7 linked regions of the Callithrix jacchus genome follow. The protein of the gene in region 3 interacts with the protein of the main gene of each other region in a pairwise test. Links are inferred from orthologs where the notes say so. Each region holds a gene or a part of one and is shown on either strand. Other genes may lie near its edges.

Region 1 (4,442 bases), on a different chromosome or scaffold from region 3:
AATCAGTAAAAGCAAGATGGCATTTTGCCTATCAAAAAGTAGAGGCTGGGAGGAGGGAGAGGATCAGGAAAACGAACTAATGGGTACGTCTGTCCTACCTGAGTGATGAAATAATTGACACAACAAACCTCCACGACACGTTTGCCTGTGTAACAAACCCGCACATCCTGCACACATACCCCTGAACTTAAAAGTCAAACGAACAAAAAGAGCAAAATGGCACTAGTGGAAGGGGGTTATCAAAGCAGCCCTGTGGCCTTCTGTGAGGACATTTGATGGTGTCGCACAGTTTGAAGCCCCCTGACCAGGTGATCCTGGGGCCCAGGCCAAAGAGGGGGTCTGTCCAGCTGTGGAGGGAGATGTTCCAAAGCCAGACATCCTTCACTGTCTTGCCTGGGCCTGGACACAGAGCATTCCAACGTGGGGGGCTGGTGGGGAGAACTGTGCAAAAGCTCCGGGCAAGGAAAGGGACAGCTGAGGTGGGGAGCAGGTGGGCCAGGCTGTGAAGTGAAGGGTGGGAGAGCCCGGTGTGTGGGGAGGGGGCAGGCATGGAGCTCAGGGCCAGGAGTTTGAACTTGGTTCAAGAACCTGGTTGGGGGGCCTGGGAGGTGGGGAATTAAAGGACCCTTGCAAAGTGCCTGCCACTAATTTCATCCCAGAGACACCCCTTCCTCTGCCCTAATTTTCTCCCTTCCCTTGCTGCCCATGAAGCACTGTTCAGACCCCAGTGAACACAGCTTTGGCCACCTCCCCTGAATCTCCACTGGGTCAGAAAGCCTCCTGGGCCTCCCTCTACCTCTGCCTCTGCCACCAGGGGAGGGTAAGGCTGGGGTGGAGGAGGTGGAGGGTAGTGTGACCCCCGAGTCTCAGCTGTCATGCTGGGGCACAAAGGGAGGGGTGTGAAGACCATCCAGGAATTCCTGAGATGCTTGGCTGGAATTAGATTTTATAGGCAGCTGCTTCTTCTGAGGGCTCTCCTTCTCCAAAGACACTGAGGAAGTCCAAAGGAAACACCAGCTAGCGAAGAGACACCTCCAGGCCCATCTGTCCATCACCAGCCTCCAGGAATGCCAGTGTCCAGAGGGCACCAGGTCTGTGTCTGCCTCCCTGGGATGTGCCTTGTCCTTGGTGGGCATTTGGCAGGGATCATGCTTCCCTCTCTCCCTCAGAGAGCCAACTGTCCCCAGTGTGGGGCCCTACCTGCCAAGGCCAGTTTGCACCTCCTGCCAAGCTCTAGGGCCTGCCCCCAGCCTGCCTCACTGACAAATGCCAGACCGAGGGGTCCCACGTCAGGCAAGAGGCCTCAGCCTGTGCTCTCACACCCACCAGACACGGGCCCTGTAGAAGACAAGCAAGGGCTGATAAGAAGTCAGGATGTAGATAGCAGCCACTGGAAGGCTTGGAGAGCCAGGATTCCATCTCCCCCACAAGTAGCAAGCAAGGAGATAATGAGAAAATCCTCCACCCGAGGGAGGGTGCAAAGTCTCTGATGGTTGCCTCAGAGCTGGGCTTTCCCTTCCCTGAGGCTCTGCAGCATGGAAGGGACGATCAACTAGACTATGAAATTGAGTGTGTGTGTGTGTGTGTGTGTGTGTAAATGTGACTGTGTGTGAGTGTGAGAGTGTGCGAGAGAGACAGAGTGTATGTGTAGGAGAAGAAACTGATCACTTTGCACACCCAATAATCACGTCCACAAGTATCTAGTTAGGCTGATGTGCTTCCCCCTGCTCCCTGCCCCCGACCTTGGACCCCCATTCAAGGGCATCCCTGTCCTCCTTAACTGATGGTTATTTAACAGGCCACACTCCCAAGCCCATGGCTCTGGGCTTCCTACCACACACCACAACCCCATCTTGAGCTCTGAACAGCAAAGCCTAATCTCAGAGCTGCTGTGGGACTATGACTCCCAGAGCCGGTGGCAGATGCTGCCTTCAGCCCCCACCCGAGTCCGGGCCAACCACACAGCGCCCTGTCCCAAGCCCTGGGTTGCCCTGTAGATGCTGCCCTGGCTTATGTGTTCACTGGCTCTTGTGCCCCAAACCAAAATGCTGCCACCATTGCCTTCCTCCAAGAGGACCCCCAATACCTACTGCGGCTCCTCAGAGCCAGGAGCGCTGAGCAGGAGCAGTCAAGAGGGGTTGCTGGTCTGCCCCCGCCCCCTGCTGTTGTGCTGTAGTACAGAGGGATGGGCAAAGGGAGGAGACAGCATCCCTCAAAGACAAAGAACACAGAAGCAAGATGGTTTCCTTGGTCAGCAGAGGGCTCTGGCCCTGCCTTCTAGGCTCCCTGGGAGTCCTGCGCCTGCACCCTCCTTCTCTCCTGCTGCAGGCATTCCTGACTTGGAACGCTCACCCGGCTCTGCCTAAGCTTGCAATTGTAGCCCCTCTGCTCCGGCTCCCAGATCCCAGGGCCACCCCTTCCCCTGGGTGCTTCTCCCTCCCACACCCTGCTGGGCATCTCGTGTGAAAGCACCATCCCTTAGGCTCTGCCCTGGGGCTCCTAAGGAACCTGGAGGAAGATTCTGCTCCTTGCTCCCAGCCTCCTAATAGCCAGGAAAAGCTTTCGCCTCTCACTACAGTTTTGCAGAAGAGATGCCATTCTGTGGGACAAAACGCCGTGGGAGTCTTTTAGGAATGTTCTACCAGCAAAACACTGTACAGGCAAGAAACAGTTTCCTTGCTTTCTCCTTAAACAAAAGCCCCAGGGTCTCTGCCTGGGATGAACCTAGATCTGAGGTCCTGGGCTGTGGACGCTTACCTCGTTCAGTCCTTGTGGAGCGGGACTGGCCTGTGCCTCGCCGTAGACTGCAGACTGTGAGGGGCAGAGCCAAGGGGAGGCTATGAAAACTGTGGCCAGCAGCAACTGGCCGGTAAAAATAGAACAGACCCACTGCCCCCTCCTGCTGCCCCTCCTCCCTCCCACCCCTCCCACCACACACACCCCTCATAGGGCAGATGCGTGCTGCAATGCACACACAGGCACACAGGCCTAGAGTCACGTGAGTTTGTGACTCCGGAGCACACACACATAGGTGCCACCGAGTGAAACCAGCACCCGCCTAGGGAGGCTCAAGCCGCAGGAAGGGAGAAACTAAACAGCCAGACCAGGTGTGGGGACTGAACAGAGATGAGACACGGAGGGGGAATAAGGGAAAGCCAGGGGTCACGGCAAAGGCCCAGAGGGGCCAGTAGTGGCTGGGGGAAGAGGACTTTTGGGCTAACCCCGCATCTCTTACAAGGAAATATGGAAATGAGGCGTCCGAACCCATGCTCCAAAATTGGAGAGGGCTGAAGACTCAGCTTTCAGGGATTTTTCGGTGGCTCCCTGGTGCACGTGGGATAGGAGGGTGCTGGCTGTGAGGGGGAGTGATGTGAGCAGCATTGCAGGCTGAACCCAGCGAGAGTTTCTGGGGCTGAACAGAACAGCAGCGGCAGCAAGGCACAACTTTACGCTCAGGGAGGTCCTAGGGTCTGCAGACACTGCATCCCCCTCCAGGTGGGTTTCCTGAAATCAGGAGACAACCGAGTACCATGCCTGGAACCCAGTGAGAGTAATTCATCTCTCCCCTGCCCTAATCTTCATCTCCAGCCAGATGCCAACAGATCCCAGGAGACTGGTGCCGCAGGGGCTGCACCTGTTTACTGGGTATTTTTAGGACGGTTGATGAACACATAATACCCACCCTATAGTCAGAGAAAGACAATGCCTGCTATGTTAATCCTGTGGCTATTATAGTCTGTCATCTCATGGGCTGACGCAGGACACTGACCCCTCTCAGATGCCAGAGAGAGGCTTCGCAAGCAGCAGGAGGTTAGGGAGCCCCAGCCATGCTCCCCATTTGGAGAGGGAGAGTAATGGGCAGGGGTGTCCTAAGGAGACATGCCCCCATGCCCACAGAGGTAAAGGCCCTGTCTTCTGTACACCAACATTCTGCTGCCTAATAGAGCTTGCTCTAAGTCTGTTCTGGTCAGGTCACCTTTGAGAAGCCTCTGTGCGAGCAGGCTGCCAGGGAGAAAGAACAGGGTCTGGGGAGGCAGGGGAGTTGGGGGCACAGGATTCCAGGTAGAGAGGCTGGGATGGTAATGAAGGTGGGCTGTAGCCAAAAGGAGCAGCTGGAGGGAGGAAGAAGTTAGGGGCTTGGGGGATGAGCCTCCCGGAGTTTATTGCCTTGGCTTATTATGATGTGTACAATAACTTTCCTTTTATTTATTTATTGAGACAGAGTCTCACTCTGTTACTCAGGCTGGAGTGCAATAGCATGACCTCGGCTCACTGAAACCTCCACCTCCTGGGTTCAAGTGATTCTCCTGCCTCACCCTCCTGAATAGCTGGGATTACAGGTGCACCACCATGCCTGGTTATTTTCTGTATTTTTAGTAGAGATGGGGTTTCTCCATATTGGCCAGGCTGGTCTCGAACTCCTGGCCTTGAGTGACCCACCT
Region 2 (4,271 bases), on a different chromosome or scaffold from region 3:
TCCCTGGCCTGGGTGCAGGGGGCCCCAGAGGACCCACCATCTTTGAATAAGGGGTGTTATCTCCGTAATCTTGAGGAAGAAAGACCTGTTGATACCTACTGAGATTCATTTTAAAAAACTACCTGTTACCTGAGAGAGTAGGGGGCCAGCTCTAGCCAGGGCTCAGCCAACCTGGCAAAGGGGAAATATGCAAAGGCAGGAAGGTGAAGGCAGTGGGGGTGGGGGGCAGTGGGCAAAAGTCACTGAAGACAAACTTAAATGTCTCAGGAGGCTTAGCCAGGACTAGAAGGTAGCTATGGGACTGGGCAGTGGGTGGATGTGGGGAAGTCAGCTGGTCCCCTGCCCTGGCCGACATCAGGCTGGAAGCAGATGAGAGTAGACCAAGAGGACAGATAGGCCAAGGGGCTCTAGCAACTCATGGCTGCACTTCTCATCAAGTTGGTCACTGCTCTGTATCTCAGTTTCCCCATCTACAAGATGGGCATGCTAGACTCAAAGCACCCAATGTTCTCAGCAGAAGAAACCGAGAAGAGAAAGGAGGCTTCCCCCACAAACCACAGTCTGCCTGTCCTGCTCCCTCCCCAAGGCGCCTCACTGCCGAGCCGGTGCTCCGGAAACATCAGCCTCCTGGGTGCAGCAGGATGAGCGCACTGGACTTACAGACTCCTGTTGCCCAGAGAGGGGCAGTGACTAAGTAGTCCACGGTGACACAGCTCTCAAGCTTAAGGGTCTGCTGGAGGCACACACCTCTTTCCTTCTATCTTTCCCTCCCCACTTTCTGCTGCCCGCCCCACTCACCCAGGGTGTGATGGGAAGGAAGTGACACTTCCTTTCATGAAAAGTCACGGACTGGGAACACTGCGTCAATTACCACAATAATGGTAACAGCAGCCTCAATAACAACCGGCAGACTCCGCCCCACCCCCTCGGCTGAGGTTGTTGGCTTAAGTTTCTCCGAGCTTGAGCTGGAGCGAAACAAAGACAGCCTTTGAAGCCGAGAAGCGGCGGGTCCACTCGGCGGCTGGGGAGGGGCGGCAGGCCAAGTCTCCGCGGAGCTTGCTCTGGCAGTTTGGGGAGGGGAGGCCTGCCAAGGGCTGAGCTGAAGCCAGCAATGAGGAGAAACGCGATGGACCTGGGCCCACCCCCATCCCCACCAGGGCACAGGTGCAGCTCAAGCCACAGCCCAGCCTCAGTACCTCAGCTTGAGGGAGGGAGAGAGAGACAGGGTCTGGGGGCAGCTGAGGTCACAGGAGCCACCAGAGGGTAAAGAAAGGGAAGAGGGTGCGCGGGACACTGAATGTGAGGCTACCAACTTCCAAGCCCCACTCTCCCTGTCCCTCTTACCGGGCTCTGGGATGTCCTAAAAGCCCCTATTCCAGGATGGGGCTCAACCCTCACTGTCCCGCCCCACCGAGTCTCGGCCACGTTTGGTGGTGACTGACAGTGAGAACTCCGCAGGTTTCGTGTGTTCCCATTGCACCTACGGGGGGCAGAAGCTCAGAGGTGCCAGGTGACTTCTCCAAGATGTCTCCCAACTGTAGAGGCAGATTCTCGGAGGCCCTTTCCGTCTCTGCCGCGTCAAGTTCTAGGCCCCAGGCGGGTCCCTACGGCCTAGGTTGGGCTCTGAGCTCTGCTGTGGGGTGAAGCCCTCGAGCCCCCATTTCCCACTCCTCCTGTGCTCTAGCGTTGCCTGTAGTCACAAAGACGCCACCATGCGTGTGGGCTTCCACCAACGAGGCCTGGGTGGGGCGAGGCACCTGTTGTCCTCCCTTGGTGCCCGCAGAGCCCTCCTTGCTGGCCCAAGACTCTGCAAACAAAGGGGCACTGGCCCCGCAGTGCCTCGGGACCCCCTGGGTCCTCGGGAGTCCTTCATCCCGAAAGCCCTACCACGCCGGCGCGGAGTGGAGGGTGACGCGACCCTGGCCCAGGCGACTCCTGGACACCGCTGAGTGACTGTGTGCGGTCCCGGGTTGCCCCGCAGCTCGGGCCGAGCGCGAAGCCAGGAATCTCCCGCACGCTCGAAGCCTGCGCTCCTGCCCTCTTCTCCCTGAGCTCCCCGGCCGCCAGCCCGTCCCTTCTCAGACCAAGGGAAGGGAAGGGGACACACTCGGGACAGGAGAGGAGAGCAACCAGGGAAGCGACCCCTCTCCTGCGGGGCTGCGATGGGTGCGCGGAGAGACCCGAGAGGAAAAGAGAGAAAGGACAGGGGGCGAGAAGCCGGGCGCCCCGGACCATCGGCGCAGCCCGCGGCCGAAAGAGGAACAGTCGAGCCTTCAAAGCGCATTGAGCAAGTTCTTCACACCCGCTCAGCCCCTTTCAGGAAACGGCGGCCGCAGAGGAAAGCGCCGCGCGCCCTAGACCCGGCTCCTGTGCCCCGCGGCGCCGCGGTTCTAAAACCCGCGGGATGTCACGGGGCGGAGGGGTGGCTGCCGACAGCTGTCACAACAAATTAGCTGAGCCCAGCTCGAGGTGGAAACCGCAGCAGGAAGTGGGACTACAGAGACGTACCGGGCTAGGCACATTTCAGGCAGGAGTCGGCGAAAAGAGTTTCGAGATAAACGCCCGGGAAGCCCCTGGCCGCCGAAACTTTTTGTCTTTCCTTTTCTCGAAGCGCGAGCGGACGCCCAGACTCACCCTTTCCCCGCCGGCCGGGGGGCGTTGAAACTATGGGCCAGGCTTGCTCCCCGGGACCCGCGCCCCTCTCCGCCCCCCACGGCGCCACCGACGGCGACGAGGATTGGGGGGACCCGGCGCCACCGCCTTGGCCCTCCCTGCAGATCCTGGGCCGTCCGCAGAGCCACTTACCCATGGCCCGGCGAGGTCCGGCGGCGCCCGCCCAGAGACCCTCAGCGCGTAGCCGTACGGACTCGACGCTCCTGTAGCTACTGGCTCACGGTGCCGCCGGCCGGTCGCCTCCCCGCAGCCCCGCCCCGCCCCGCCCCACTGTGGGCTCCCATTGGTGGGCCCGGCTCCTTCGTACCGGGACCGCCCCCGGAGCCCAGGGACCTCTGGGAGTTGTGGTGCGCGCCCTCCCTTCCGAGTAGGGCCCCTAGAATAGGCTCCTTTCCTAGAGGGGCAGAGGCAGGACTCCCAGGAATCATTGCTGCCTTGTGCCTCAGTTTTCCCGGAGGCAAAACTAGAGTTTGGATAAATCCTCCTTGCTTTCAGTAGAGCACTGAGGTCTACACAGTAAGTTTTGCTTACTGTGGAGTAAGCAAAGTGCTTTTGACTTTGATTTGAAAGTGACCCTGTGCATTTCCCACTTCCCACCCAGCCCAACATAGAGGGCCAGGTGAGGCCCGGAGCAGCGGCTCACGCCTGGAATCCCTTCGCTTTGGGAGGCGGAGGCAGAGGCGGGCGGCTCACTTGAGCCCAGAAGGTAGAGGCTGCAGTGAGTTTTGATCACACCACTGCACTCTATCCTGAGCAACAGATGGAGACCCTGCCTCAAAAACAAACAAACTCAAAACAACAACAAACAGGAGAGGTGGTTAGTGTGAGTTAGACAAGGACCAAACTAGTAAATCCTTGGCCTAGGCTCTGTGGCTAGGCCCGCCAGTAATAGTCAATGTCCACATACCTAATGCAGAGTGGAAGCTACAAGCTGAGCAGTCCAAAGAGAGGGCATGAGTTCAGGCTGTGGGAGGTGGGAATGAGGCCTAGGGTGAATGGAGGCAGGAGGAGGTGCCCAGCCAGACATAGCAGTAACTTGGACCTGTGGGGGCCAAAGTGGAGGAAACAGTGGGTCAGGGTTTCAGTCTTAGCAGGTGGCTAGTTAGGACATGAACCCTGTTCCTAGCAGGGACAGGGTTCCCTGTGTAGATTTTGTGTAGAAGCTACACAAAAATCTTTGTTGATGAATTTTAATACGCTCTATGCACTTGACACCATCACTGTCCTCATTTTATAGGGTAAAACTGAGGTCTGCTAGATTAGCTCAAGTAACACAGCTGGTAGGTCCTCATTTTATAGGGTAGAACTGAGGTCTGATAGATTAACTTAAGTAACTCAGCAGGCAGGTGTTGGAGCCAGAGCTAGACCCAGGCATCCCCCCGACTCCCTTTGCACCCATTACTGACCACTCGTCATGCTGGTGCTCCTCCTTACACTAAAGGAGCGGACCAGGGATGTAGTTTGGTGAACCTGAAATTCTGACCCTTATCCTTTGGCCCTGGGCTGGAAGATGTCTGCAGGCTCAGTCCACAGCGGACGACACTGTGAGCTCTTCAGGATAAATCCCCTGTCTACCTCGTAATGGGTTGGCTTGTAAG
Region 3 (4,338 bases):
GGGTGGTGGGAGGGAGTGTGTGGGGGTGTGAGGAAAATGGGAATATATGTTGGGGTGGGAGATTGGCAGAGTGTACATGTGGAGTGGGAAGAGGGTGTATGTTAAGGTGGGAGTACTGAGTGGGAGATGGCAGTGAATGTGTAGAGCGTAGGAGGTGGGTGAGTGTGCACCTGATGCTGGTGGGAATGGAGGGGAAAGCTCTGTGAATGATGGGTAGTGGGTGAAGACATGCTGAGTGTCTGTGGTAAGTAAAACATATGGTTTGAGTTAATGACAGTCTTCATAAGAAAAATGGACAGAGTTTACTTAGGCTAAAGATGTTTGTACATGCCAGCAAAAGGAGAAGACAACAGAAATCGAAAAACATTTTTATTTCTGTATGTAACTTCAAATTTAGAACACTCAGAATTAGTATGAACAAGAACTATTTTCTGACAAAGATTTGAAATTGGGGAAGTGAATTACTCTAACAGGTGCACATCAACCTCTCCATGCAATTTACATCTGTATCTTATGCAGTGAAAAATGGGTTACACAGCTCCGTAACTGCAGTTTTTAACATCCCATTTTGCAGTATCAGAATACTTTTCAATTAAACTGATCCACATGTTTAAAGATGAGAAATAGTACGTTTACATTGTAAGGTTGAGTCATAATAAATGCACATTCCCTTCCATTAATAAAATCTGGAACAAGTTATGGTAGACAGAAAACTATCCACAATATCAGTAATCTAACAGTTCACACTTTTACTGAACACTTCCTGTGAGCCAGGCCCCGCAGTAAACATCTGAACATGCAATTTCACATTCAACGTGGAATAGAAGTGTCACAGGTTCACACGTTTTTCACAACTGATTATGATGGCCATGATGACCGCGTGCACTAAGCTCTGTGTCCAACCAGGTAAACGGCATTGTAGCCAGCAAGATCCGCTAGCAGCTCACAGTGCTTGCGTGCACAATTTTAGAATGTTACATGAATACTCAGGCCTGACAAATCCTGCCCTCCAAAAACAAATGTAACAGGACTAAGCCTTTACTACTCAGACACATCTGTAAGACCCCACAGGGACAAGGACAGTAGCTGTGATCTGGGTCTGCACTAAAGCTGCCTTTCCTGGGACTCAGAAGTGCCCTTCCAGGCCTAACTGCAGAAGGGTGGCCTCAGCCTCCTCCTCCTCTTCCTTGGCTTCCTCCTCACGGATCTGCACCAGCAACTCAAAGAGGTTTGGGGCCGGCCCTTCCCCAGCCCCGTTAAGCCACAGCTGCCTTCGGATGGCCCCGCTTTGGTTGGCCCCGGCAATGACCTGCTCTAGACGAGCCTGGTTCACATTATCTTTATCAATGGCCCCCTTCTCCACCACCTTCTGTAGCAGAGGCTCCAAACGAATGACATAAGCAGACAACTTTTCTCCCGGGTTCTGGTAAGTGTTCAGAAATTTGACCTGGGCATCCCTAGAGCTCTCAACGCTCCCAAACACCTGCTCAAGCGCCTGCAGGCATTCGGCAGTAGTTATCGCGGGGTTGTTGGTCTTGAGGATGCGAATGACATCAGCGGCGGGGCCTCTAAGACTCTCCATCAACCGCCGCCTCTTTTCTGCATCTGGCACCTGCCACTCCTCTAGGACCTCATTAGTGTGCTCCAGCCAAGGATCAAAGGTTTCCTCTCCAGGCCCTGGGATGTCCCTCCCCGAGAAAAGTGTCAGCTTCTTGTACCATATGGACTCAACAAGAGGTTGAATAACATTATCCAAAATATAGTTTAGCATCTCTGCTGGCATCTCTGGGACCGGGGTCGGAGTAGGGTTCTGAAACCCAAGGACACGGGCAACATCCTGCACGGTCCAGCCCTCTCTAGCTAGGAAGAGGTGCAATCTTTCTAAAAATTCAGCATCGGAAGTCGGGGGCTTAAAGAACACTTTCCAGACTCCTCCTTTGCCCGGCAACTCCCTGGGGATCGTGGCGTAATCGACAGCGCCAGTGAGCTCTAATAAGGCTGCTTTCGCATTTTCTTCCCTCCAGAACATTCTCCCAAGCACTCGGTAGGGCACCTGGGGCATCGCAGCCTGGAGGGTCTCTTCGATTTCAGCCTCATCACAGTTCACTGGGATGCCCCAGACCAACAGAGCTCTCTGGGAGTTCACATCCATTCCCCTGCACCAGTCTTCCAACAGTATCATCGCCATTTTGTCAACTATCAAGACGCTAATTCTACCAACAGACAGTGGCTCACCTTGCTCCTGGCCTTAGAACAACGCCAGACACTCCCCCCAAGTAGGCCCAAGGGAGGCGAGTTTCACGCAGTCACGATTAACAAAGACACAGAGTCCTGACCTCGCCCTTCCCTGCCCCCACAGTCAGTCAGTGGACGCACTTGGAGACGAGCTCGGAAACGCTGAGGCAGTCACGCAGCCGTCGCCATCTTGCGTCTGGGTCCGGGTCCGGGTCCGGGTCCGCTGCCAGCAGCCGAGGCGTCGCGTCGTCGTGGAGCGGGCAAGGAGCGAAGGCGGGCGGCGAAGGCAGGCGCGATGGGCCGAGAACCGCCGAGGTGTGGTCGTCGGGCGCTCGCGGCGGCTCCCAGAGAGGATCTGGCGTTCGCGGTCGCAGCCCGGTCTTCCGAGGGCGAGGAGAGGTCGTTTGGGAGACCCGGCACAGGCAGACTGTGCCGAAGTCGCGGCGGCTGCGGGCCAGCTGAGAGCGGCTTCTTGGCAGGAGCAGGGACTCTTCCGGGAGGGTGGCGAGGACCGCCGAGGACCAGAAACGAAGGCAACAGAGGAGCAGGAGAGCTGGCGAAGCTGGGCTGGAGACAGCAGAAGAGAGGATGAGCAGCGGCGGCCGCAACGATCTGCACTGCGCTGCTACCCAGACGTAGTGTCCTACCCGCAACCTGCGGCGATGTTACTGCAGCAGTGAAGGGTGGGGCCAGCCCGTGAGCGGCGTCTGCCCCACTCCGTCACGCCCCCGCGGCGGAGCCGCTCGGGTGTCGCCATGGCAACGGCTTCTCAGCCTGCACGAGACTCGTCTGCTCTGGCGGCCCACCGCGGGCGGGGGAGTGGGGGTGGGGCGGAGTCCAGCGGTTACCATGGTGCCCCGGGCACCTGTTTCTCTGATGGCGTAATTTTCTTCTTCTTTTTTTTTTTTTAAACAGAGAACAAAGACTGCTAAGCACCGTATTTTAAAAATAACCCAATCCTGGAGTGGACTTAAGATGATATTGTTGGAAATGCATCCCTCATGGTGGACTCATCTCAGATTGCTCAGCCAGTCCACCCTGCACGTGAGAATATCCTCAGAACCGTAGCTTCCCTGTTCCCCCAACCACACTCTGCACCCTGCATATTTCATCCCAACGCAGCCAAAATGTCGGCGTGTGCCATTTACGTATATTTTTGTAAGATACGGAGTTGCCTTTTTCTTGTCTAAAATTTTGTAAAAAAGATGTTTGTCTATGTCTACTCAGTCATCTTTTAGCCAGGTAAACATTAATATGTTATTTCCCTTTTCCTGGCTGGCATCATTGACAATAGGCTGCTAAAAGAGAATCCGTATGGTTCGAAAATGTTGAGTAATCTTTGTGCAAGCAAGACAAGACCCACTTACATCAATCCCAGATGGTGAAAATCCCAGAGAACACAGCATGCAACTCTGAATTTTTAAAACCTTATTTAATAAAAGGTTTAAAGATACAGAAGAACATTCAAAAGTAAATAAGTTACATAGGTACATTACAATCACATCAGCAAGATTCTTTAGTGTATTAATTTTTTTCTTATAAAAAGCACACAAAAAATAAAATCTTCAGTCTCTATCACAACTGTACAGCAAAAGAGGTAATATTTATATATATATGTACACTATTTTAATATGTAACAGTCTTTTTAAAAAAGGGTGCCACAGGCAGCAAACACAAAAAAGGCAGTGTCTGATCATTTGTTTCAAAATAAAAGGAATATACTTATTTATATGCTATTAAAATATTTGTACAATAATTACAGACTGTCAAGGCTGTTCCTGTGCTGTCCCTTCCAACAAGGCCTTCAACTTAGAGACAAATGAGGAAAAAGTGAAACAGCTGCAAATTGTTAGAGGCAAATATTAACATAGCAAAATGTGGGGAGGACACAATTGTTTTATAAAAATATGCCTACTTCCTGTAAACCTATGGAGTTAGGCTTGCCAGTCTGATAATATATACCATCCCAGAAAAGCGAGCCCCAGTGAAAACAACTAAACAGCTGAGGCTTGAGTATGTGTTGTATTCCTCCTTCGTCTTAACATCTGGCACATGAGAAGAAAGAGGATAGGTCACTGAGGCAGTTAAATATAGGCGATCCCT
Region 4 (4,289 bases), on a different chromosome or scaffold from region 3:
CATTCATATATCGCATACTATGTGGTATGTACTATTCTAGCATTTTACATATCTTTTTTTCTTCTTTTCCTTTTTTTTTTTTTTAATAGATGGGGTCTCGCTTTGTTGCCCAGGCTGGAGTGCAGTGGCTAGTCACAGGTGCGATCCCACTACTGATCAGCACGGGAGTTTTGACCTGCTCCGTTTCTGACGTGGGCTGGTTCACCCTCCTTAGGCAACCTGGTGGTCCCCCACTCCCAGGAGGTCACCATATTGATGCCGAGTTTAGTGAGGACACCCAATCGGCATGGCACACTACAGCCTAGAACTCCTGGACTCAAGAGATCCTCCAGTCTTAGCCTCCCGAATAGCTGGGACTACAGGCAGGCGCCACCACACCCAGTATTTTACATGTATTAACCCACTGAATACTAACAACAATCCTTACTACCCCCATTTCTAAGATGGAAAACTAGGACATGTAGACATTAGGTTGTTTGCCCAAGTAAGTGGAATCAGGCTTTAAAGCCAAGGAGCTGCTGGGCATGGTAGCTCACGCCTATAATCCCAGCACTTTGGGAGGCCGAGGCAGATGGATCACCTAAGGTTGGGAGTTCAAGACCAACATGGAGAAACCCTGTCTCTACTAAAAGTAAAGAATTAGCTAGGTGTGGTGGAGCATGCCAGTAATACCAGCTACTCGGAGGCTGAGGCAGGAGAATCACTTGAACCCAGGAGGCAGAGGTTGTGGTGTGCCGAGATCACTGGGCAACAAGAGCGAAACTCTTGTCTCAAAAAAATAATAACATAAATCAATCCAGGGAGCTCACATTCATAACCACTTGACTACACCACCATGACAATTTACACATGACCATAAGGAAAGAACTCTTCAGCACTGTGCTGGGGCCTCTGGTGTGGAGTGGCTGAGAAAGGCAGAACACACTGAAACATGGGTCTGAACTAGCTTCCCCTCACCGGTTCTCTGTTCTCCTTGTCTCTCCATGGCTCTCTCTGACCATGCGAGCCACCTCAGGGAAACCAGCTTCTTCAGCGAGCTGAGCTGCATCCCTGCCCCCTAGTTCACAGACCCCCACCCAGGCAGCCCCACGGCCCAGGAGATAGCTCACAGCTGCCCCCTGGCCCGCTCGAGCAGCGCACATCAGTGGGGTCCACCAGAAGGCATCCCGAGCATTGATATTCCCCCCAGATCCTCCTGCTTCATGGGGCTCCAGCAGTCTCCTAAGTTCTGCTAGGTCCCCCTCCTGGGCTGCCCTCAGTATCTGCTGAGTCATCTTTTCCTCAGCCTCAAGGGATCTCCCTTGTCCATGTCTTCCTGATGGTCCTGCTGCCACTGCTTCTGCCGCAGCTGCCCTCATTATTCTTCTTTTCTTTCTCTTTCTTTCTCTGGCAGGTTCAGTCTGAGATCTCTGGGAGTCAGGAGCACTGCTCTCATCCCCAATCAGGGCCTCATAGAAAGCTCGGGCTGCAGCCCCATCCAGGGTGGACTCTGGCTCCTTGGGCTGTGGCTGCTGCTGCTGCCCATCCTTCCAGAGGTCGCTGGGGTCAGTGGCTGGGGTGAAGGTGATGAGGAAGGGCCGGGACATGGCTTTTGGGAGAAATGAGAAAATGAAACCAGGCAAGGGAAGGATGACACAAGCAAGCCAAGCTACTGGTGACCCCTGTAGCAACCAGAGTCTCCAGGGACATGCTGGGATGAGAAAAACTAGTCAAAAAACACCCTCCTGCCGCTAAAATGACGCCACAACTTAGGACCTTGCAGGGCCTAAGGGAAAGAGGTTTTCTGTAAAAACACAGAACCCTACAATAACCGACTCTGCTCCTTAGCAAAGGTTAATAAAACTCCATGAGACAGTTGTCCAGCGGTCCTGCGTCCCGCCCCCACTCCCACCCCCATCCTCACCAACAATAAATACCAGCCTCTTTCTGAAACCATTTTACCCCTCCGTAAAACACACATACCATTAAGAAAAAAATCAGCCTGTCCCTTTAAATCTTCCTCGATACCATTTTGGAGTTTTCTCCGAAACAGAAGTCACTCCCTAGGAAGATCTGGAGGACAGGCTCCAGTCTGCGATGCTGTGTAGCTTTCGTACGGCAAAATGGCACTATTCTAAACAGAAGAGTTGACACAATCAAACAGCCGCACGGCACGAAGACGCATGCGTGGCGACGACAACAACAACAAAAACCACAACCCACATTACTTGAGGGCTCAGGCGTGCGCAAAGCTCCCAGTTCAGTTTCCCGCGCTGGAACCTTTCCAATAGCAAACGCGCAAAGCTCTGCGCGCCCCGCTGGCGCGAGCACCAGGATCTGTCGGTTAGGGTTCTACTTTTACCTATACGCCCCCACAATGCCCTTCGCCTTCCTCAACGTGAACCGCCCCCCTCCCCGCCCCCTCGCTCCAAGTCCATTTTCTGGACCTGGGAATCCACTCTCCGTGTTAGGAAAGGCCCTCAGGAGGCGGAGGGAAACTTGTGGAATGCCGAGAAGCCGTGAAATGAAATAACGTCACGCCTGCCCCTCACCATTACTCTGACCAGGGTTCTAAGGTCACACTTAGAGCGTAAAAGGAGAAGTGCAAGGGGACGAGCGAAATGGCTGGCCCCACCTCAGGTTACCGCACTGGGCCGTTCTGGTTCTCACAACGCTCAGCTCAGCTCAGCCCAGCCCACCCAACCCAAGTCCCTACGCACGGAGCCAAACTGCACCTCTCGCCTCATGAGGCCAGAGCCGGGAGGGTAACAGGAGGCCAGTCAAGGGTGTCCGGCGGGACTGACTCTCACTAGGGGCTCAACAATCAATAAGGACCCAGCGGATTGGCCGGGGATGGGCCAGTCCCCTGGGCAGCAGCGCCCCGCTGCGCCGGAACTAGACGGGAACTGCGTGTCTCCCTCCTCTCCCCGCCCCATCTCGGCTTTTCTCCCAGTGAGCACACAACTATATTTCCCAGGCTCCCTGGCCCCAAACGTCATACCTGGCTTCCGCTTCCGGTGGCTTCTCGCTGTGCCCCGCCCGCAAGCGTCCTCCTCCGGGGCTTCGTGACAGCCAGGTCGTCCGCGGGTCTTCCTGGGATTGGTAGTTCGCTTTTCCTTCATTTCACCAGTTTCTCTTTCTACCTGGGACTCCGTGTCCCGGCATCCATCGCAGCACCTGACCCTTGGCGCTTGCGTGTTGCCCTCTTCCCCACCCTCCCCAATTTCCACTCCCCCCCACCCCACTTCTCTTGCCGCGGTCGGGTCCGCGGCCTGCGCTGTAGCGGTCGCCGCCGTTCTTTGGAACTAGCGACTTCCCTACCCCACCCCAGTCCTGGTCCCCGTCCAGGCGGTGAGTCTGAGGTCGTCGCTACTCAGAGTCTCTTGTTGGGAGCAGCACATGGGGTCTCCGTACTTTGATGTGGGGGCGGGGGAGGAAGCGACCAGGTCCGGCACAAAGGAGGGAGAGGTGGCCTGAGGAGCGGAGGCAAGATGTGTGGACTCCAGTGAAAGGGACTTGACGGTCGCTCCAGCCCATAAGAAGAGGAGGGGCCCGGCTCTTGCTAGAGAATGATAAACTTCGAAACGCTTGGGAAAGGCGCCGGGGTCATGCAGAGAGCTGCAGTGGTAGGGAGCCTGAGCCGAGGTCCGTGCTGGAGGTGACACAAAGTAGAGAGGGCCCTGGCCTTCGGGAGCTCCAGGGATGTGGGTCAGGCTGGTGGGTCAAAGTATCTGTTGGGTTCTCTCAAGTGGTGGGACCCCAAAGTGTGTTTAACCTCAAAGAAAAGGAGCTGAGACGTAAATTAGAGGAGCTGGAGAGGAGTGTTTCAGAGTTTGGGATCCTTTAAAAAAGGACGGCTCCAAATTCTAAAGTCTCCCGTGGTTGGAGGGCCGAATGTGGGAGGAGGGAGGATACCAGAGGCAAGGAGGGAGAACTTGAGCTTTACTGACATTCTTCGTTTTCCAGCTGACGTGAAGATGAGCAGCTCAGAGGAGGTGTCCTGGATTTCCTGGTTCTGTGGGCTCCGTGGCAATGAATTCTTCTGTGAAGTGAGTTCTCTTCAACCCCCCTCCTTGCCAGCTCCACATAGATTCCCACTAGACGTTTCTCCACATATTCCACTTCCTCATCGTTCTCTTATATGCTACTTGAAAACTTCCCATCAATGAAGAGTCCCCTCAGTAACCCCCGGCAAATCTGTGCTAAAGTGGCAAAATTGGGGCCTGTCCCAACTCTGCCATCCTCCAGCAATATAACGTTGGACTAGGCAATTTGTGACTTTCTCTTTTTTTCTTTTTGAGACCGAGTCT
Region 5 (3,682 bases), on a different chromosome or scaffold from region 3:
AATTTATAATTTAGAAAAATAACCCTACATAAATACTCTACAAATCTTTAAATTTTATAAAAAGTTAACGTTTACATTTTTTAAAAATACATTTACCTTTAGTTGTACATCCTAAAATTTAGTTGTGTTAACTTCCATTAAGAAACAAAGTTGTGTGTGATTCTTGGACATTTCACCTATTAATTGCTCTGCTCATTGTGATATAAAAATAATACCTACCGTACAAAGTTTAAGTGAAGTAACACATGTAAAGACTTTCGCAAAATACATGCTATTAATATTTGGTAGGTACCTCAAATATTTAATTTTCCTAATACAGCAATACATGCTATTTTGCGAAATACCATAACTTAACAGATGCCACTCTCATTGTAAAATACATATTTTGGAAAAATTAAAAGGATATGTAGCCTCAAGACAATTAATCTGTAGCTATGGAAAATAGTACTAGGTTGAATTGTTAGTTGTGTCTAAAGTTTATGTATGTCTTCTTACGCTGTGATTCACAAAATGAGACACATTGCCGTATCGAGCTGCATCCACTGTGAATTCATCAGATTCATAGTCCAGATCAAAGAGATACGTGATTCCTTTATTGTCATATAACTGTCCCCGTCTTTCAGCTTCTTCACTTGTGATTACCTAAACGGAAAAAACTATAGTATATTATGTAGCTATTGTTGAACTAAAGAAGCATTCATCTACATACCTATTAATATGTGAATGCCTACAAATATTTAAAAAGTAAGAAATTCAAGGGTCATCAAAGCAAACATTCACACAAACTAAGAATCAGATGGAAAGAGGTGGGAAAATGAGGAGAGGAAAAATGCTAGTGCAAAAGATTACTTTTTTTTTTTTTTTTTTTTTTTAAAGGGTCTTTCTCTGTCACTCAGGTTAGAAAGCAGTGGTGCCATGACTCCCTGCATCCTTCAACTCCTGGGTTCAAGTGATCCTCCTGCCTCAGCCTCCTGAATAGCTGGACCACAGGTGCACACCACCACACCCAGCTAATGTTTTAGTTTTTGTAGAGATGGGGGTCTTGTTATGTTACCCACACTGGTCTGGAACTCCTGGGTTCAAGTAAGCCTCCAGCCTTGGCTTCCCAAAGTGCTGGGGTTAACTGTACCCAGATGATTTATGACTTTTTAAGCAGGATTTGAGACACTGCATTACTTTCATTATAATTAGGATGTTCAAAAAGCTATAGCTCTCTACAGGACACAACTGAATGTTAAGGACTAAATCTGCAAGTATATAGTCTAAATATGATCCAGGCACATTTTTCCTGTAAGTTATCTATATGCAGTTACAAATGGAAAATTGTTAAAAATACAGGGGAGAAGCTATGTTAACTCTGGAATGGAAAGCTTTGTTTTGTTGAATAGGTTATTTTCATGAAATTCTGTAAGTCCAAAAGCATCATCTATAGTTCTGCTCTTAAGAACACAGTTTTATGACATACTCAGCTTAAGAAACCAAAAGTGTCTAAAATACTTTATGTTAACAACCAAATTTGGCTGCTGCACTCATTAGGAATGCAACTTAAAATTTTGGTTAACGAAAAGAAAATTTGATTATGCAAGATGTTGTATACTGAATAGTAATTTACAATAATTTACCACTGTCTTAAAAGTATAACAAATTAAAACAGACATCTAATTTCAGAATTCTAGATGAATACAGATAATTATAGGTGACCCAATTCCAACTAAAAAAACCAGAGTTGACAACTTCAGATTTGCAGCCACATTCTTATCCTTCTAGTTACAGCTTAACTCACCCTTCAGTTCTAAGCAGTGTGGTGCCATGGTGAAGACTATATGGTCAAGATGCAAAGATTCTGAGCTTTGCATCTTGCTTATTTTATTACTATGTGACCTATGTGACCTTGGGCAAGGTGCTCGATTTCTTTCACTAAAATAATGGACATAATAGTACAATCTCCCCCCCCAAAAAAAAAAGTACTACCTGAGTTGTGAAGAGGATTAGTAAATTAATACATCAAGTGCTCAGAACAGTATGTGACACGTGGCAAATAAATATTTTTTACATTTATATATATATGATTTGCATAAAAGTACATTTGCTAGTATTTGGTAGTTTTGAGAATGGTCTTCACAGTTCAAAAATGAGTTACAGATGCACAGTCTAATTTTCTTATGGATGCAATATACTATCTTTCATATTGATACAAAACAGAGTTCTGCCAACTACACTTAACCATATTTGGTCAAATAGATGAAAGAAATTACAACTTTCAAGTTTTAAATCTGAGTTTCTTCTTAGGACTTTTGGGTAAAAAAGTTGTCATATTTTAAATTTTACAGGCTGGGTGTGGTGGCTCATGCCTGTAATCCCAGCACTTTGGGAGGCCGAGGCGGGTGGATCACCTGAGGTCAGGAGCTTGAGACCAACCTGACCAATATGGTGAAACCCCGTCTCTTTAAAAAAAAAAAGAAAGAAATTTTACAAATGCTAGCTTTCATGAGTGGAAATGCATATTTGTTGAAAGATGACTATACTGAATTGTTAAAATATATATTTTTGTTCATTTTTTATTTCTAAATATGCCAGTGAACTCTTCTAAATCTGAAAATGAATTTCTACATATCTGCAAATGAAAATATCAAAATGTACCAAATCTGTTACAGAGATAAAAAGGTAATTTTCTAAAAGTACAAACCTTACATACCCATCATTTGCTATGTGGCAAATTAACATACCTCTCCAACATATTCCATGACAAAACTCATCCTTTTAATCTTCACAAGGGTCTTTACACCCCAGCCACGGCCATTGCTAGTTCGAAAGATGCAAAGTGAATACTGTGTGCCTTTTTGTACAATCCTATTGGGACAATCAGGTCCACATTGACACCTTGAGTTGCATTCATAGATGGGAGTACCAGGTGGGATTTTAATTTGCTGGTTTTTATTATAAGCCAAAAGAACTCCAGCTTCAGCAGGACAACATTTTTCAAAGAAGCAATCTGTGCATGAACAACCAAAGGTGGCTTCATTGACTAAGCTGATTCCAGGAGCTGGTTTGTATTCGTTAATGTAGTAGAAGTCTGAAGGTGGGCCCTCTAAATCAACCGTATTTTCAACAAATATCATCCCTTTATGATTCTTCCTTCTGTTGAGTTCATCTTGCCATCTCTGCAGAGCTATCCTTTGTTTAGCCTTCTTCACAATGTACTCAGCGATGGCAGGTTTCAAAGTTTTGTTATTGTCTTTTGGAGTTATTGCTTTGCCTTTATTTACCTGAGATAAATAATTATGCTTGTCATTAGAGAATTGCTGAAGCAGTAACGGGCACTTCAGATTTTGCAAAGGTTCCCAAGTATTTGTAGAATCTGGCCATCCTTTCCATTTTACAAGATAATATTCCATATCCTTAAAATAAAAAAGAAAATAAAATGCAAATCAGATGGTTATTTCCCAGTTTTACTGAAAATAGTTAAAAATCATAAAGAATAAGGTATCCATTACCATTTTTCTTACTAATAGTTCAGAACATGTAGTAACAGGTTCCTAACACATGAAGTACAAATCATACAAATAAAACTATTTTTCCTTATTACATAAAATATAGAATTTAGATATGGCATAACATGTTTGATAAGAGGCTAAAGAGTTTTACCTGGAAAAAGATAAAGGTACTGAAACTTATGAATATG
Region 6 (3,682 bases), on a different chromosome or scaffold from region 3:
ATCCACACGGCCAGTTTACGATAAACTTCAGAATGACCCACACGGCCAGTTTACGTAAAACTCCAGAATGATCCACACGGCCAGTTTACGTAAAACTTCAGAAGGATCCACACGGCCAGTTTACGTAAAACTTCAGAATGATCCACACGGCCAGTTTACGTAAAACTCCAGAATGATCCACACGGCCAGTTTACGTAAAACTTCAGAAGGATCCACACGGCCAGTTTACATAAAACTTCAGGATGATCCACACGGCCAGTTTACGATAAACTTCAGAATGATCCATCCACATGGCCAGTTTACGTTAATGTATTTTTAAAATTGTTTCTAGAGACAAGGTCGGGCTGCCTCACCCATGCTGCAGTGCAGTGGCAGCTCACAGGAAGCCCACGGCACAGCACAGCCCCTAACTTAGGCTCCAGCACTCCTTCTCCCTCAGCCTCCCCAACAGCCGCGAACACAGGCATGCACAGCAAGCCTGGCTACCTGGACATTTTGCTACAACAAAAGCCAGCCCCAAAAAATAACCCTGCAAAGTATCTCAGAAAAAAAAAACAATTCCATGTCACTTTTACTGGGTCAGCTCCATATAAAAGAAAAACATTGTCAAAGCCGGACCAGAAGCCATCTTCAAGGAGTCACACAAGAGGTGCCCGGCCGTGGCGCCCTAACCAGTGTCACACCCTCCCCACGTGGCACAGAGACAGACATGGCCACACAATCAGACAGACTCACTTGAACCCGGAGGTGGAGGCTGCAGTGAGCTGATTGTGCCGCCATACTCCAGCCTGGCGACAGACTCAAAAAAAAACACAAACTACTAAATGAAAAATAAATTAAATAGGGCTGGGCACAGTGGCTGTAATCCCCGCACTACAGGGTGGGTGAAACCCGTCTCTACTAAAATACAAAAAACGAGCCAGGCATTGGGATGGGGGCCTGTAGTCCCAGCTACTCTGGAGGTGGAGGCAGGGGAATCGCCTGAACCCAGGAGGCAGTGGACACAGTGAGCTGAGATCGCACCACTGCACAGACCAAGATTCCAGCTCAAAAAACAAACATTAGCTGGGCATAGTGGCAGGCACCTGTAATCCCAGCTACTTGGGAGGCTGAGGCAGGAGAATAGCTTGAACCCAGGATTCAGAGGTTGCAGTGAGCCAAAATCGCACCACTGCACTCCAGCCTGAGTGACACAGCAAGACTGTAATTAAAAAAAAAAAAAAAAAAAAATTACATCTGACAAACCACTTATAATCCTAGTTTTCTTTTATACTATTGCCTTGACCTTGCTTTTTAAAAATTAAAATCTGTGTTTCTTTTTTCTTTTTTGAGATGGGGTCTCCCTCTGTCACCCAGGCTGGAGTGCAATGGTGTGATCTCAGCCCACTGTAAACTCCACCTCCTGGGTTCAAGCAATTCTCTTGCCTCAGCCTCCTGGGTAGCTGGGACTACAGGCATGTGTCACCACTGCCAGCTGATTTTTGTATTTTTGGTAGAGACAAGGTTTCACCAAATTGCCAGGCTGGTCATGAACTCCTGACATCAGGTGATTCACCAGCCTCAGACTCCCAAGGTGCTGGGATTAAAGGCGTGAGCCACCGCAGCTGTGTTTGCTGAGCACAGCACAATGATGACAGTTTTTCCACCGACTGCTCTCCAGTTACGAATTGCTGATAGTGTGTGCTCTCATATCATCTCCACCTGCAGCATGCAGGGGCACAGGGGCAGCAGACACCAGGGACTCAGGACAAACCACGTCTCATAAGCACTAGTTTAAGACGCTGGAACAATAAATGTAAACAGCTTCATCTACCCAGAAAATGAGTGTCCTGAGAACATCAGAAGCCTCTGATGGTGCAATGGGGGCGCGGGGCGCACAGGCACTGACCATCCATTTCCACAAGAAGCTGGTTTAGCGTCTGCTCCTCCTCGGTGTTGGAGAAGCCGGACATGGTGGTGGAGCGCTTCTTGCCCACCGCGTCGATCTCGTCGATGTAGACGATGCAGGGAGCCCGGGCTCGGGCTTCCTTGAAGAGGCTCCGCACACGGGCAGCACCAAGGCCTGAGGGGACAGAGAGAACCAGGAAATGGGCAGATGAAAGACAGAGCCTCTTCCTGTGCCTGGGCCAGACAAAGGTGTCCCCCAAAGATGAATCAACCTACCAGCCTCAGCCCTCCAAAGAGACACACAGCAGCTGCTCCCGGGGGCCCCTGGCAGCCCCTCAAGGCTCACACACACCGTACTGGCTCACAGGCCCAAGTGAGAGCAGTTTCAAAGTAGACATCATGTGCGCCGCAGACACCTCCTCTAAGCCAAGCCTCGCTTTCCCTCTCTCCTCCCCGCCCACCTGCTTCCCCTTCAGTCTAGCTGCCTGAGGAAGGATGTGTGAAAGGAGCCATCCACAGCCCCCAACCACAACACCTACCTCCAATGACCTCCACGAACTCCGGGCCGGCCATTGCCAAGAATGGCACCTGGGCCTCTGTGGCTACCGCCTTGGCCAGCAGGGTCTTCCCACAGCCAGGGGGGCCGAGCAGCAGCGCACCCTTCGGGACCTTGGCGCCAAGCTGGAGGAAGCGCTCCGGGCTCTGGATGGCAGTAGACAATGTGACACTGGCGACTTGCGGTTTCAGGTTTTTTTTAAAGGTAACGTCTTGCTGCATCACCCAGGCTGGAATGCAGTGGCTGCCATGATAGCTCACTGCAGCCTCAAACTCCTGGGCTCCAGCCCCCTTCTCACCTCAGCCTCTCCAGCAGCTGAGACCATACAGGCATGTGCCACCACGCCTGGCGACTTTTAAACATTGTTTGCAGATAGGGTTTCACTGTTGCCCAGGCTTATCTCCTACTACTGGGCTCAAGCAATCCCCCTGCCTCAGCCTCCCGAGGTGCTAGGACTACAGGCATGATCCACCACACCACGCCCTCAGAGAGAATGTTGAAGTGGCGCAAATGAAAGGCAGGTCATGCACTGCCACGAACTCCGTATGGGGTTTACGTGGTTCTGGGAAAAGCACAGAGCTCTGCCAGGAATCCAGGATGGCTAATGGCATAGCAGGCGTGGGCCTCAGCACCCTCCCCTTGGCTGAACCCTGTGCATGGAGCTTGCGCTGCTGCTTGAACAGGCACCATGGGACAGGTGAGAGGCCACCACCAACCCACAACATATCATCGATGGAATTCCGGGTCCCAAGGCTCTGATCCCCACAAAACGCCTTCTGGGAGAGCAGGCAGGTCATCTGTCTGCTCACGTCTCCCTCCTGGTCAGCGCTGGCTCTCACCTTCAGATAATCCACAAACTCTCGCACTTCCAGCTTGGCTTCGTGCATTCCTGCCACGTCTTTGAAGCTGACCCCTTTCCCCATCTTCCCATCCACAATCGTGAAACGAGCCATTTTAAGCTGATTCTGTGCAGAAAGAAGGAAGTACAAGGAGCTGTGCAAAGCTAGGAAATCAGCAACACAATGCAGGAGGCTCAGCCCACGCACCTGAGCTGCTCCAAGCCCCCGCCCCACGTCTCCATCCCAGGAACCCTTTGGCTCCCCTTGAGTCAGACTGACAGGGCACATGGGTCGGTCTTCAGGCATACAAGGAAAACTTGTTTGACGTCATTAATTACTAAGAGACTTGACTAGCTACTGACCTTAAAGACCATTATCCCCAGCCGGGCACAGTGGCTCC
Region 7 (3,682 bases), on a different chromosome or scaffold from region 3:
ACACTCTGAGGACAGTAAGGTACTAAATGACCATAAGGCCCAACATAAATAGTCATCTACTCCCTCTCCCCAAACTGTAACTTTTAGGGATGGTGATGTGAGCTTCAGCTAATGACTTTCTTTCCTCCTCCTTCTGTTTTAGAGAGTAGTGTGTATAAGATTTTTTAAAAGCACAAAAGAGTTGCACAAATAAAAGGTATCACTCGGGTTATTTGTTAAGAGAACACTGATTTACAGTTACAAGCACACCCAGTTGCTATGGTACCACTGCTCCCCACATTCATTGCAAATTACATAAGTCATCATTTGTTCATCTGCGTTTGAATTCCGCACCCAGGTGGGAAGGAAAAGTGTTCCTCTGGCAATTGTGGTGACTTTGCAATTGTATTTCTCACAGCGTCTGCATTTTATTTTATTTGTCTGTGTGCCATCAATCACTTGGGGAAGGTAATGTTCCTGAATACAAGATTCTGTGTAGGAGGCTCTCAACTGCTTCAGTTCCTTATTGGCCATCTCCATGACACTCATTTCAGCAAACTCTCGTGGAGACATGGTCCCAGAGAACAAGTTTTGTTTTAAGTGAGAATTTTTGGGGTTCTTCAAATTGGCAACTTTGCTTCTGATGCAAGTTTTATATTTTTTGATGTTCTTTGAATAAAGGGTAAAAACATGCTCTTCAATTTCTCTTGCAAAGTTTTGCCACAAATCGGCTCTGGGTTGATCTGTGGAAGAAGTAGTTAAAGCTGAGTAAAGAAGCTCTATGCATTTAGTTCTCATGGGTGTTGGATCCAGCAACTCACTTGATCTCTTCCCAGTGGATTCAGGGTCACCATCCTCAAAATGCTCTTCCTTAGGTTTCAATTGAATGGCTCCATTTTCAGGCACAATCATTTCACTGGGTTTTGCAACATCTTGGGACGATAGAGAATTCGAGCTGCAGATGCCCAGTGTCTCATCATAACTTGGGTCATGAGAAAGTCCTGAATTTTCTTCTTTATTACCCCTCACAGGAAGTAATTTAGGGCTGTCCCTTGCTTTGAAGTGAGTCTCTTTATAAACAGCTTTCCACTTTGATAGCAAACACTTGGCTTTCTTTTTCAAAGCCACAGAGGGGCAGTTTGTCAGGACTCTGTACACAACTCTGACCACATCTGTCTCCTGGAGATGCTCCTTAGTCACATAAATTGTTTCTAGCTCAGTAAGGTGGTTGCCAAGATCCTCAAATTTCCTTTTAGACATCAGTTGCTCAATAAGGGAGGCTCTGGCAGCTATCTGGTTCTTGTTAGACATCTTTACAACTGCAAAGCAAAAAAGAGGTTTCCGCTTTCTTAAGTTTGTCTTTGCTGGCTACAGCTTCTGGATATTAAAAAGCACTTTTTGTCAGTTACCTAGGCAATGTTTTATGAAGGAGTCATGTAATACAAATGCATGTGACATGCTAGAAAATGGAATCTTTAATGTGGTATGGTTTACTTTCAAGAGTTTAATTCCTACTAGTTAAAAAACAAACAAACAAACAAAAAAACCAGTATTGCAAAGCCTCTATATAACATCTGCTTAGAGGCTTGCTGGAGGATCTGCCATAGCTTGTCCAGCTCCAATTTTACAAATCAATTATCTTTAATCTTTTAGTCATTCCATTTGGGTGGAATCTGGTGGTCATGCTGGAGATGAAATCATGCCAGTGTCAGCATCAATATGGCAAGGCTGAACAGTGCTAGACTGTTTTTCCCCCAGAGTCAGCTACATAACTGAACTACTTGCTCATTTCATAATCTTTAAAGTGGCATTCTTCTGAATATAAAAGAGTAAGAAACAGGACAGAAAAGGTTTGCTAATGTCTCAAGCAATCTAAGGAAACTGTGAGATAGCACAGGTTGAAAAGCAGCCAGAGCTAGATCTGCAGGTCCCAAAAGCCAACAGGCTACACTGTGCTGCCTTAGGAGTCTTCTGAACAAGGGAAAGGTTCATTCTCAAGGATCCAGGTGATTTATGACTTTAGACTTACTGGTTCCTACATTTTGGTTTCGTTAATTTAAAAAAAACTTTTTAAGTGTGAAAAGTTGCTCAATGATTATGTCTGTGTGAATCTCATCCTAGGCAGGCAAACATTTACTTTATCTAAGTGGTCTATTTTTTCCCTCCACATAATGTACATAATCCTGTCTATATGATGTCCTTGGATCTATATTTATCTGTCTGGTCTAAATGTAAACATATGCATCTTGACAGCAGGGACTGTGTCTTTTCAAAAATCTATGGGCTCTGTTTTATAGCACTTGATACTAAATAATCACCACTGAACATACACAGGCTAAGAACACTAAAGTGATTACAGAGAGAATTCATACAATCTTCCCAATTACCATCTGACAAGTGACATAAAACACAATGACCTTTTAGTAATCCTACTTCCATAAATTTAAGTAAATGAGAGAAGTGGAGACTGCATATGTAAGAATTTTCTTCTAACTTAGGAGAGACTGGAAGACCCTCAAACAGGAGAATGGTTAAAAATACGGCATACTCCCAGGATGATACAATAATGTAACCATTTAAAAATCATGTATTTAGATAATATTTCATGACATAGAAAAACAGTCATTATGTGAAAAAAATCAAGATTTGAAACTATATATGAAACTACAGTTATCATATGACCCAGCAGAACCAAGAGAAATGAAAACGTATGCCCACACAAAAACTTCCACACTAACGTTCATAGCAATATTATTCATAATAGCCATAAGTGGGAAATAATCGAAATGTCCATCAACTGATGAATGGATAAATAAAATGTGATTCATCCACACCACAGAATATTATTCTGCCATGGAAAGGAATGAAGTATTGATACAGGTTACAACATGGATGAACCTTGAAAACATTATGCTGAGCAGAAGTCAGACACAAAAGACCATATATTATATGATTTTATTTACACGAAATGTCCAGAACAGGCAAATCTATAGAGACAGAAAAAAAGATTAGTTGTTGACTTGGTGGAATGGGACAGAAGAGCAGTGGGGTGAAGGAGGAGCAGCAGCTGATAACATACAGGATTTTTCTTGGAGGGGGGTGGGACAAATAAATTTTCTAAAGTTGACTTATTTGTGGTGATGGGTTACCCAACTGTGAATATACTACAAAACACTGAATTGTACACTTCAGGTGAATTGTATGGCATGTGAATTACATCTGAATAAAGGTGTTATTTAAAAATAGAATCTGATCCAAATTTTATTTAAGAATTATATGAGAAAAGACTGAAGAGATACACAAAATTTTTAAGAGGGGCATTTTCTGAATGGAAAGATTTTAGGTAATTTTCATTTGTTCTTTTACTCTTTTCTGCATTTTCTGTGATGAGTATGTATTGTTTTCACAATCAGAAAAGTTATAGGTCTAATATGATTTCATGATAAACTGTATACATTTAAGATATCCCTACTCAAAAATGGTGTGAGTGATGGATCAATCACCTTCTACCCACCTTCCCTCTGGAATGATACATGTACTTAACATTACTGAACTGCACACTTGAAAAGGCTTAAGACAGGCCGGGTGCAGTCACTCACGCCTATAATGCCAGCACTTTGGGAGGATCCTGCCTTGTGATCCGGTGGGCGTGGTGGCATGCACCTGTAGTCCCAGCTACTCAGGAGGCGGAGGCAGGAGAATC

What was found.
Region 1: the proteins of PNMA1 (region 3) and TNNI1 interact in binary tests that used the Homo sapiens proteins (3 or more experiments, as listed by UniProt). The two-hybrid records come from large-scale screens. The link is inferred for Callithrix jacchus from reciprocal best matches to the Homo sapiens genes PNMA1 and TNNI1.
Region 2: the proteins of PNMA1 (region 3) and ARID5A interact in binary tests that used the Homo sapiens proteins (3 or more experiments, as listed by UniProt). The two-hybrid records come from large-scale screens. The link is inferred for Callithrix jacchus from reciprocal best matches to the Homo sapiens genes PNMA1 and ARID5A.
Region 4: the proteins of PNMA1 (region 3) and GPANK1 interact in binary tests that used the Homo sapiens proteins (3 or more experiments, as listed by UniProt). The two-hybrid records come from large-scale screens. The link is inferred for Callithrix jacchus from reciprocal best matches to the Homo sapiens genes PNMA1 and GPANK1.
Region 5: the proteins of PNMA1 (region 3) and SUV39H2 interact in binary tests that used the Homo sapiens proteins (3 or more experiments, as listed by UniProt). The two-hybrid records come from large-scale screens. The link is inferred for Callithrix jacchus from reciprocal best matches to the Homo sapiens genes PNMA1 and SUV39H2.
Region 6: the proteins of PNMA1 (region 3) and SPG7 interact in binary tests that used the Homo sapiens proteins (3 or more experiments, as listed by UniProt). The two-hybrid records come from large-scale screens. The link is inferred for Callithrix jacchus from reciprocal best matches to the Homo sapiens genes PNMA1 and SPG7.
Region 7: the proteins of PNMA1 (region 3) and TCEANC interact in binary tests that used the Homo sapiens proteins (3 or more experiments, as listed by UniProt). The two-hybrid records come from large-scale screens. The link is inferred for Callithrix jacchus from reciprocal best matches to the Homo sapiens genes PNMA1 and TCEANC.

Annotation. Positions count from the first base shown.
Region 1 is NC_133520.1:28,435,260-28,439,701, forward strand, and holds the start of TNNI1 (troponin I, slow skeletal muscle), read right to left. Parts: upstream 2,865-4,442; 5' UTR 2,758-2,864; intron 1,339-2,757; exon of another isoform or gene 1,201-1,338; intron 1-1,200. UniProt on the Homo sapiens protein: Troponin I is the inhibitory subunit of troponin, the thin filament regulatory complex which confers calcium-sensitivity to striated muscle actomyosin ATPase activity.
Region 2 is NC_133515.1:6,485,542-6,489,812, reverse strand, and holds the start of ARID5A (AT-rich interactive domain-containing protein 5A), read right to left. Parts: upstream 2,877-4,271; 5' UTR 2,810-2,876; coding exon 2,806-2,809; exon of another isoform or gene 2,285-2,805; coding exon of another isoform or gene 2,205-2,284; intron 2,204-2,204; coding exon of another isoform or gene 2,082-2,203; intron 2,080-2,081; coding exon of another isoform or gene 1,752-2,079; intron 1,751-1,751; coding exon of another isoform or gene 1,681-1,750; exon of another isoform or gene 1-1,680. UniProt on the Homo sapiens protein: DNA-binding protein that may regulate transcription and act as a repressor by binding to AT-rich stretches in the promoter region of target genes.
Region 3 is NC_133509.1:108,629,341-108,633,678, forward strand, and holds PNMA1 (paraneoplastic antigen Ma1), read right to left. Parts: upstream 2,908-4,338; 5' UTR 2,189-2,907; coding exon 1,127-2,188; 3' UTR 357-1,126; downstream 1-356.
Region 4 is NC_133505.1:39,167,545-39,171,833, forward strand, and holds the start of GPANK1 (G patch domain and ankyrin repeat-containing protein 1), read right to left. Parts: upstream 2,931-4,289; 5' UTR 2,700-2,930; exon of another isoform or gene 2,620-2,699; coding exon of another isoform or gene 2,601-2,619; exon of another isoform or gene 2,203-2,600; intron 2,114-2,202; 5' UTR 1,963-2,113; intron 1,589-1,962; 5' UTR 1,587-1,588; coding exon 958-1,586; intron 1-957. Other genes in the region: CSNK2B (casein kinase II subunit beta), read left to right, coding at 3,549-3,624, 3,946-4,028.
Region 5 is NC_133508.1:15,841,594-15,845,275, reverse strand, and holds part of SUV39H2 (histone-lysine N-methyltransferase SUV39H2), read right to left. Parts: intron 3,399-3,682; coding exon 2,727-3,398; intron 643-2,726; coding exon 496-642; intron 1-495. UniProt on the Homo sapiens protein: Histone methyltransferase that specifically trimethylates 'Lys-9' of histone H3 using monomethylated H3 'Lys-9' as substrate.
Region 6 is NC_133521.1:47,177,501-47,181,182, reverse strand, and holds part of SPG7 (mitochondrial inner membrane m-AAA protease component paraplegin), read right to left. Parts: intron 3,409-3,682; coding exon 3,283-3,408; intron 2,590-3,282; coding exon 2,427-2,589; intron 2,063-2,426; coding exon 1,889-2,062; intron 1-1,888. UniProt on the Homo sapiens protein: Catalytic component of the m-AAA protease, a protease that plays a key role in proteostasis of inner mitochondrial membrane proteins, and which is essential for axonal and neuron development.
Region 7 is NC_133524.1:13,886,162-13,889,843, reverse strand, and holds part of TCEANC (transcription elongation factor A N-terminal and central domain-containing protein), read right to left. Parts: intron 1,299-3,682; 5' UTR 1,291-1,298; coding exon 238-1,290; 3' UTR 1-237.